3 linked regions of the Cricetulus griseus genome follow. The protein of the gene in region 1 binds, or shares a complex with, the protein of each later gene. Links are inferred from orthologs where the notes say so. Each region holds a gene or a part of one and is shown in the gene's direction. Other genes may lie near its edges. The genes, in order: Drc3, Ccdc153 and Iqcd.

Region 1 (3,694 bases):
AGACTCTGGGAGAAAGGTGCCCTGAGAGCAGATGCGGCGAGATGCCTGGAGAAGACTGCTCGCAGTGACATCTCCCAATACGCAAGGGTAGGCAGTCCAGCATGGGCACTGCTTCTAGGGAGAGACTTGGAAAGGTTGGGCCTTGATGGGTAGGGATGCAGGGTGCCTCTCAGAATCCAAGTTGCACCTCAGGGGAGCCTCCTGGCAGGGTGAGGTAGCACCAGCGTCAGGCAAAGGCCTCGTGACAAGGATGCCCGGTCCACCTTTGAGATGACACCACTTATTGGCAGAGGCCCAACCCGCACGTGAAGTGGTATCTGTGCCGGGAGGAGGCCCCGGACCTCACCAGCCCGGCCAGCCGCTCTGTGGCTCACTCGACGCCTGCCCCACGCGCGGCCTTACCAAGACACTGCCCTACAGGGGTGCTGAACGGATTCCCCAGCAGGAACTCCATCTCTGCAGGCCTCGTTCCGGCCCGGATGCCTGTATGCCGCGGGTCTCCACTGCCCGCGCCGCGCTCGCCCTGACTGACACTTGCCCCCGCCCCACCCTCGGGAACGCCGAGCGCCTGCCTGACCTCGCCCTCTGGGTGCATCCCTATTGGGCAGCGTCTACTCAGCCAGCCTCCGATTGGACGGCACGCCACTCTCAGTGAAGTCCCACCCACCCCGCAGCGTCCGATTGGGCACCAAGCAAGCTAAGTCATTGGGGTCCCCGTCAGCCTAGTGGCACAACCCCCCTGGACCCGCCTCCAAACGAGCGGCCCTTCATTTTGATTCATTACCCTGTTAGTCAGTCTAGAGAATCCTTACTATGATTGGATAAAAGGCGTGTCAATTATCCGAGTAAAGAAAGAGTAACTAGAAGTTGCGGTGCATTGACGGTGCTGATTGGTGAGAGGTTTGTTTTCTTCAAGGCTGGTTGGTGTTAGAAGCGTTTCGCCGCCCAGAAATGCGGTCACGTGACACATCAACTTTCACCCAGGATATTTATTGCTGGACTTCCCCTTAGCGACCGAGTGGCGGTGCTTGGTTACCTAGCAACCAAGCGACGCGTCCACTTGAAGGAGGGTCCTTAGGAAGGTAAGAAGCATGAGGTTAAACTCCAGAAAGACTCCAAGAGCAGAGGTTGATTCAAATCTGTCTTGAAACTCTTCTGTAAGGACTCCCAACCTGACCCTTTCTCATTTGTAAAATGAGCGCACACGTCATTTTACACTTGTTCTGAGATTACCAGGCCTTTGGAGAAGAAAATTGAGTATAGATCCCAAAGCCCGCAAAAGCTAGTAGGAACAGGATCCATCTGCCAGTTTCCTGGACTGATTAGTTTCATAGAAAGAGAGGTACCCTTTCCTCTTGATCTGCAATAAGTTACTTCATTTGGTGCTGTATGAAGCGCTTGGGAAGGGAATACAGATACTAGGGTTCCGTATCAGTCTCTATCAGTAATTCACTGTACGACCTCCCAGCCCCACCCCCCACCCCAGGCTGGGAAGTAAGAGCACTAAGGCACCCTTTTTAATAGCTCATAGAGCTGACATGTAACACTTAGTTACATAGCAAATACAGTGGCAAATACAGTGTTTCAGGTCCAGTTGACCCAGGTTGTTGTTTCTCAGGAAAGCCTGGATTTTTTCCGCAGTGGAGAGGCTACCTGGTTGATTTGTAAGTAAAGCTTTCCACTTCTTCTCCACATCCTACCTCTGGTCTTCACCAAGGACACCATCAGGCAAGTCAACCAGCACCCACTTGTATAAATTATTGATATAATCCCCACAGGGGAGGATTCCTTGGGCCTTGGCCTGAGAAGAACAGTTGGAAACATGAGCTGTGATAATGGTTGTTCCTAGTATGCTGTTACAATAGAGTCATGATTAGAAAATTGAGTTCTACTATAGACAAGAGGTAAATCTTTGGTGAATCTACATATTGGTCAATCTAGAAAAGCTTGATGTTACAAAGATCCCTACTCTGTGTTGTTGATGTTTTACTCCTTGGCTCTTTTACTCTTTGCTCTTTTGGGGGGGCACCACCCAGCTCCCAAATAAATCACACACGGAGGCTTATTTTTACTTATAAATACCCAGCCCTTAGCTTGGCTTGTTTCTTGCCAGCTTTTCTTAAATTAGTGGGACTACCTTTTGCCTCTGGACCTTTTTCTTTTCTTGCTTCTGTATATCTTACTTTTACTCTTACTCCATGGCTGGCTGGCTGGCTGGGTGACCAGCCCCTGACATCCTCCTCTCCTTGTTCTTTCTTGCTCCTTATCCCTCTTCTCAGATTTTACCTCCTATTTATTCTCTCTGCCTGCCAGCCCCTCCTATCCTTTCTCTTGCCTTGATACTGGCCATTCAGCTCTTTATTTCACCATCAGGTTTAGACAGGCAAAGAATCACAGATTCACAGAGTTAAACAAATGCAACATAAACCAAAGTAACACACCTTAAAATAATATTCTGCAACTATGTGCTTTCATAGTTCCACACATCCACTAACTTGTCATTATTTGTAAGTAAATATTGGGTGATTTTTTAATCCATGTCAGAAACAGAAGACCTCTCTGAGTTATTCATAGCTGTTGCTGTTACCCCCAGAAATCAGGCCACATCCCTTCAGTATCCTTCCTCAAGGTTGGTTATAGATGGACTGTGATCTTGTAACTCTCACAATGTTCTCTGTCTCCCCTCTTAAGCTTCGAGCAAGCTCAGCTCCTGATACCTGGGCCAAGACAATCTTGAATTGCAACTTTACTCTCTTGCCTAGGCCTTCCACCATGCCATGGGTCATATAGACTAGGTCAGGCCAGATCACATGGTATGGAACTAAAAAAGAAAATACCACCACCACCACCACCCCCCAAAAAATGTATGAGTCAGAAACTTCCTTTGTTCTCTGAATCTGAGGGAGCTAATGGAACTGAAAGGTTTGTCTTTTCCTTCAGGGATCCTCATGGCTGCCTAGACTATGATGTCATCTCCTCCAATGCTCTCCCACTTCAGGGCTCCTCATGGATGTTTGTGGCCATGAACCTTCAACTCTCCTAGCAAAGTTCTTCTGAAGGGAAATTTATTTCCGTTTCTTTTTCTATTAAACTCCCCCCACCCCACTTTCTAACCCTACTGGACCAATCAATCACTTTATTTGGCCACAACCTTCCAAACTATATTGTCTCAAACTGGGAATGATTAGTCCTACATATAAACTAAGCACCTAGAGATGTCCCAGACCCTCCCCCCATACTCCTTCCTCCCTTCCTTCTTTGTTTGCTTGCTTTTCTTTTTCTTTTCTTTTTTTTTTTTTGAGACAGGGTCTGTGTGTGTGTGTGTGTGTGTGTGTGTGTGTGTGTAGAAGTCTGGAACACACTATGTAGACCAGGCTGACCTCAAACTCATAGAGATCTGCCTGCACCTGCCTCCCAAGTACTGAGATTAAAGGCAAGCGCCACCATTTCTCGTTAGACTCACTCCTTTTGTAATTCTTGGCCCAGCAATATAATTGTTCAGTTGCAGGCTCTGGCTGGCCCCTGCCTTCTGGAAGCCCCATTCCCTCCCTCCCCTTCTCTCTCTCCCCAAACCCTGCCCACTCAGAGAATTTTTGAACAAAGATTCCCAAAAGCCCAGTTCCCACATTCTTGGTGGCTACTGTTGCTTCCTTCCCTAAAGATGCCAGCTGCCCAAATCTCCACCTAAGAGCTC
Region 2 (3,754 bases), on another chromosome or scaffold:
CCAACCATACTGATGGACTGCCCACAGCAGCCTGTAAGGCCAACTCTAGGTGCTCCAATGCTCTCTTCCAGCCTCTTTGGGTACTGCACTCACATGCACAAACCCACACACATATAGCGAAATGAAAAATTAAAATTAAAAATCTTTTCTAAGATCTCTAAAGTGCCATGGGGTTAAATAAACACTCATTGACCTTCTGCTTCTTCTTCACAGGTGAGAGATCTTCCTCCCACGTCTTATACCTGTTTCTGCAGATTTGCTTCTGATAATATGCAGTTGACCAAAATTCTGGAATAGACAGAAGTGCCCAAAAAGAGTCTGTAGATCCCATAATCCACAGGGAAGAAGGAAGGCTTACTGTTCCATTCTATGTATGATGCCATTGTGATGCCCAGTAATGGCCCGGTTCCAGGATGGAGCCCTCCCAGATGGAGGGGGCAATAGCAAGCTACCCCATCACACTCTCTACCCACAATCAATTTTTTAAATCATATGCAAGATGCTAGAAGGCATCCCCCAAAGAGAATCTCCCCCATATTGTGCAAGAAATACTAAACTGCAAAATTTAGGAGACTCTGGTCAAAGCAAGTCCACTAGAGGGAGCACTAACCAACTCTATGCTGCAGAGAGCTTGGGGGCTTCTAAACACCCTGTCTGCAGAGTAACCTCACAGAGAAATAGGGAGAGTGAGACAATTGTTGAGCGGGAGAGAAAGAAGTCCTAGAAACACACCACTGAGTATATATATATATATTATATATATATATATATAATATATATATATATATATATCCTTATTTTACATAGCAATCTCGGTCCTGTCTTCCCATGCCCACCCACCCCCATCCCATTCCCACTGCCGTCCACTCCCCAGGGAGGGTAAAGCCTTCCCAGGGGGATCATCAAAGTCTGTCACATCATTTGGGGCAAGGCCTAGGCCCTCCCCCATGTATCTAGGCTGAGAGAGTATCCCTCCATAGGGAATGGGCTCCCAAAGTCTGTGCACTAGGATAAATACCGGTTCCACTGCCAGAGGCCCCATAGACTGCCCTGGCCTCCCAACTGACACCTATCTTCAGGGGGCCTGGTTGGGTCCTATGCTGGTTCCCCAGATGTCAGACTGGGGTCCGTGTGTTCCCACTTGCTCAGGTCAGCTGTTTCTGTGAGTTTCCCCAGCATGGTCTTGACCCCTTTGCTCATCCCTCCTCCCTCTCTACAACTGGACTCCAGGAGGGAACTACAAAACTTATACACCAAGAAATCCAAGCTGAGCAAAATTAAGTAGCTCAGTTCGCAACTCTGCCTAATTTGTGGCCTCCTTTCTGGGTCAGCATCCCCAAGTCCACAGCTCTTCTCTGTTCTCATTTCTCTTAAGTGGAAAACTCTCAACTACCTGTGCCAGCACGTGTTTCCTGCACAAGCCACAGATAGCATTTCTGAAGTAGACCTCAAGTTCTAAAGCAAATCATGTCACTGTGTTCATGAGACCTCGGGATATAAAGTACCTGCAATGGCTACTTTCCCTGCCTTTCTTCTCCATCTGTAAAGCACTAGCCTCTCACACTGGATGCTTCTAGATTTCTAGACTGCAAAGTCTCCAGATGATAGGCAGTGCCTGTGTAGACATGAATAATAGCTATTCAGCTCCAAGACCTTTTCTTTGCGGGTAGGAGGGGAATCTACCTACACAGGACCTTTGTGTGAGTCAATTTAGCCCATTCTACCTGCCTATGAACACAGTGTTTCCCGGTTGCCTGGGCAGCAGGCAGTCTCCAGAAACCCAACATCCCAGTTCTTGGTCCTGCCTCTTGGGGAAGTTTTTCAGCCTGGATTGGCTCCCAGGACCCAGGCTCCTTCCTCCCTAGGCTCAATCTGCTTGGGACTCTATCTTTCCCAAGGAGTGTTATTCCCCAGGGAGACAGCACTCAAGCAAGAGAAGGTCCTCCAGGTAGGAAGGGGAAGAATAAGCATGTTGGGGAGACAGAAGGGACCAGGTCCAGAGATTTATCTTCTCTAAAAGGGCTGTCTGCTGCCCATAGAATTGCTCTACCTCCCAGCCTTGCCTGGGGTTCCCAGGAGACCAAGAACCAAAGCTTCTAGAAAGTGTAAGATACACTGGAAGACTAGAATTCTGACTGCCCCAAGACCCCTACCTCTAGGAGTCAGGAGAGCATTTCTGTATGCAGACCTACACAGAAGGTCTTCCCTCCCCCAGGGCAGCAAGGATGCCACCTAAAACCAAAGGAAAGGGGAGAAAAACTGGGGCACAGAAGAAGAAAAAAAAATCAAGTCCTGGTGAGTCACAGGGCGTGTCTGTGACACAAAGGTCCTCGGAGGGAATCCAGCCCTCTGGGCAACAAATGGAGTGGGTTTGTTTTGGTTTTGTCTTTTGTTCTTTTGACACAGGGTCACTATGGGACCCAGGCTGCCCCAGTCTTCATAGTGACAGGATTACAGGCGTTGCTACCACACTTGGCTAGGGTGAAGCTTCCTGGCCCTCCTCTGCAGATCCTTGCGTCCAGATTCCATGGGGCTGAGGAAGTGGAGAATGCCTCCTTCCCAAATTCCCCCTGGAGCCCCATCTAGTTCTTTGCCCTCATCATATTTTTCACCCTTATTTTGAGCACCCACCGTGCACATGGTGGGTGAAGACTCTGCCACTCAGCCGTAAATTTGTCAGATTTGCCATTGGGCCTCCCTCATCCAGCTATCTTCCTCCATCACGAAGGAAGAAGTGCAGGTGCAGAGCAGCACTGGGGTGAGGCCGAGAGAAGGATAACCTGAGACTATTGTCTTGCCAGAACAGATGCAGAGGCTGAGGCCAAGCATAGGATGGTCCTGCTGGAGAAGGAGCTGCTTCAGGACCACTTGGGTAAGAAGTTTGAAGCCTCAGGAGATGGCAGAGATAGAAGTCCTAGTTAGGGTCATCGTTGCTGTGATGAAACACCATGACCAAATCAACTTGGGGAGGAAAGGGTTTATTTGGCTTAAGCTTCCAAATCACTGTTTATTATTGAAGAAAGTCAGGATAGGAATCCGAGTAGGGCAGGATCCTGGAGGCAGGAGCTGATACAGAGGTCATGAAGGGTTGCTGCTTACTGCCTTGCTTCACATGGCTTGCTCAGCCTGCTTCCCTTTTTGTTGTTGTTGTTTTATTTTGTTTTGTTTTTCGGTTTTTCGAGACAGGGTTTCTCTGTGTAGCTTTGGAGCCTATCCTGACACTCGCTCTGGAGACCAGGCTGGCCTCGGACTCACAGAGATCCGCCTGCCTCTGCCTCCCGAGTGCTGGGATTAAGGCGTGCGCCACCAATGCCCAGCTCAGCCTGCTTTCTTATAGAACGCAGGACCACCAGCTCAGTGGTGGCACCATCCACAGTGGGTAGGCCCTCCCCATTAGTCACTAATTAAGAAAATGCCCTAAAATCTTGCCTACAGCCTGATCTTATGGAAGCATTTTCTCAGTTGAGGCTACCTCTTCTCTAATGGCTCTAGCTTATGTCAAGTTGACAATAAACTAGCCACCCAATGTATGGAACATAGGGCATTTCTGGGTTCTTGGGGAACTGGAAAGTTTGAACTGTGTGCAGGGCTAAACCAAGATAGCCATTAATCTATTTGCAAGATTGTGAGGAAGGGCTAGGCAGTGAAGATCAATGAAAGAAGCTATCTCCCACCCCTTCCCCCAGCTGGGAATAGAATCACAACTTCATTCATGATAGGTAAGTAGTCTACCATGGAGCTAACCTGCAACTTG
Region 3 (2,371 bases), on another chromosome or scaffold:
ACACAGAGAGGGGGAGGCTGGTGAACTGCAGCAAGAGGGGCCAGAGACAGAAGTGGGAGAGGACCCTGGGGTCACCCAAGACAGAGCTTGCTGCTTTGGGCCTCTGTGAAGCTGCCTCACCGGAGGCAGCTCTCCTTCCCCGAGGCCACACTGGGTCCTGGTACAGTGGCATCACATCCTCGGGGGCCAACTCTCACTATGATAAAACACTTGAGAAAGGGAAGAAAGTTTTGTATGAGCTCAGAGTCCTGGAGTCCTCAGAGTCCTCAGAGTCCAATCCATGGTCACTTGACCCCTCTGCCTTGAGCCTGAGGTGGGAATGTCTCAGAGAGGGCAGCAGAAATGTTCACTCTGAATAAACAAGGAGGGAGGAGAAAAGGGTTGAACAGAGGGGAGGAGGGAGTGGATGAGAGAGACACAGATCAAAGAGAAGATACCTTTCAAGGGTCCACCCCCCAGTGAACTACTTCCTCCCGGAAGGCTTCCTCCTCCCTGTTCAGCACTGAATCCATCAACTGGTTAACCCACTGACAAGACTGGCGCTTTCATGATTCAGTTGCCACTCAACAGCGCCACCTAGCTGGGGGGACCAGGCCTCCAGCCATGTGTCTGTGAGGGGGCTTTCATACTTAATCCCAGAAACTCTCCCTGGTATTTGGAGTATTTGGAATTGTCTGGAGAACCAGAAGCTTTAAAGGGAATCTCCTAAAGGTGCAGAGAAGCTAGACTTCAAAGCTACGGTCAGCGGCTGGGGGACCACCTCAGTTAGTAGGATGCTTGCTATGCAAACACTAGGACCTGAGTTTGCATCCCCAGCACCCATGTAAGAAGCTGAAAACTGCAGTGTGCAGTTGTAATCACAGTGTCGGGAGGCAGATCCTGGGAGTTTGCCAGCCCAGTGATACCTGCAAGCTCTAGGTTCAGTGAAAGATTCTGCCTCAAAAAGTAAGGTGGAAAGATTGAGGAGGAAGCCTAACGTTGTATACACACACACACACACACACACACACACACACACACACACACAGGAGGAAGCCTAACGTTGTATACACACACACACACACACACACACACACACACACACACACACACACACCTAGGCTTGCACATCTCTCAGCCCTTGTTCCTCCCTTCATTCCTGAGATCTGTTCAGTTGGGTCCTTCCTGGAGTGAGCCCAGGTGCAGACAGACAGGCTCTATCTGCATACTACCTGTCTGGGGCGCATGGAGAGCACGGAGGCCATCCTTGTGCCCTCCAGCCCTGCCTCTCTTCTAGGAAGAATACGAAGATCTGGAGAGCATCCACAAGGAAGAGAAGCTGCAGCTGGAGGAGCTAAAGGAGAGGCATGCGGTGCTGGTGGAGGAGTTTTCCCAGATCCGTGCTGAGAGCGAGATCAACTCCAAGAAGCGGGTGGAGGCGGAGCGCGAGATGGTGCGCATGGTGCGGGCGGCCACGCTCATCCAGGCGGTGTGGAAGGGCTACCTGGTGCGCTCCATGCTCAGATCCAAGAAGAAGAAGCGGGGCAAAGGCAAGGGGAAGGGCAAAGAGGAGAAGGGTAAGGAGAAGAAAGGCAAGGGCAAGGGCAAAGGCAAGAAGAAGTAACTGCTGCCTGGCCCTGCTCCTGCCCAGCCTCAACCACGCCCTGCCCAGTCTGAATGGTACTCCCACCCTGCCCCAGCCCTTCCATCCTGACTTTAATGATGGCCAAAATTAAAACAAAACAAAACATTTAAACCATACTCAAGGGCTCACCCTTCAACAGACGTGTCTACCCCAGGATGAGGCTGTGTTGCTCATGGGCGCAGCATCCTGAGGAGGGTACAAGCTTTGGGACCCCCATCCTCCCACATCTTCATTGAGAAATGAGGCCCTGGTCCCAACCCAAGAGATACTGTGGTTACCATGGAGAGACATCATCACTGGGCAGCCCTGGCCTGCCCTGGGACTGCCCACCCACCCACAGCTCTGCCCCTTTGCTATGAACCTTCTGGAGGGCAGCAGCGTTTTTGGTTTGGTGTTTAGATTGCATGATTTTTTGAAAAGTATTAGTTGCTAGAATCTCATAAATTAAGAACCATCCATAGAATCCTAAAGCCCTTATTGTGAAGATCCCATCACCCTGATATCCCAGTATCCCGGCCCTGTGTCTTCTTCCATGGTGCAGCAGCATCCCACCCTGCAACTTTATTTTGAGACATAGTATTCCTCTGTAGCCCCAGCTGGTGATCCACCTGCCTCTTGATTTCTAAATGCTGAATTTACAGGCATGGGCCACCTCTTTGGCTTCCTCCACTTCAAAACAAAACAACAAAACTAAAGAAACAAAGGATGGTCAAGGGGGATGGTGGGGGCGGTGGTGGTGCACGCTAT

Evidence for each region.
Region 2: Drc3 (region 1) and Ccdc153 share a complex: the UniProt entries of both Homo sapiens proteins name them as parts of the nexin-dynein regulatory complex. The link is inferred for Cricetulus griseus from reciprocal best matches to the Homo sapiens genes DRC3 and DRC12.
Region 3: Drc3 (region 1) and Iqcd share a complex: the UniProt entries of both Homo sapiens proteins name them as parts of the nexin-dynein regulatory complex. The link is inferred for Cricetulus griseus from reciprocal best matches to the Homo sapiens genes DRC3 and DRC10.

The regions. Positions count from the first base shown.
Region 1 is NC_048600.1:74,482,590-74,486,283, forward strand, and holds the start of Drc3 (dynein regulatory complex subunit 3), read left to right. Parts: upstream 1-748; 5' UTR 749-1,082; intron 1,083-3,694. Other genes in the region: Tom1l2 (TOM1-like protein 2), read right to left, coding at 403-454. UniProt on the Homo sapiens protein: Component of the nexin-dynein regulatory complex (N-DRC) a key regulator of ciliary/flagellar motility which maintains the alignment and integrity of the distal axoneme and regulates microtubule sliding in motile axonemes.
Region 2 is NC_048597.1:155,926,708-155,930,461, forward strand, and holds the start of Ccdc153 (coiled-coil domain-containing protein 153), read left to right. Parts: upstream 1-1,196; 5' UTR 1,197-1,948; intron 1,949-2,215; 5' UTR 2,216-2,225; coding exon 2,226-2,295; intron 2,296-2,321; exon of another isoform or gene 2,322-2,360; coding exon of another isoform or gene 2,361-2,365; intron 2,366-2,801; coding exon of another isoform or gene 2,802-2,806; coding exon 2,807-2,872; intron 2,873-3,754. UniProt on the Homo sapiens protein: Component of the nexin-dynein regulatory complex (N-DRC), a key regulator of ciliary/flagellar motility which maintains the alignment and integrity of the distal axoneme and regulates microtubule sliding in motile axonemes.
Region 3 is NC_048597.1:100,417,361-100,419,731, forward strand, and holds the end of Iqcd (dynein regulatory complex protein 10), read left to right. Parts: intron 1-1,276; coding exon 1,277-1,603; 3' UTR 1,604-1,740; downstream 1,741-2,371. UniProt on the Homo sapiens protein: Component of the nexin-dynein regulatory complex (N-DRC), a key regulator of ciliary/flagellar motility which maintains the alignment and integrity of the distal axoneme and regulates microtubule sliding in motile axonemes.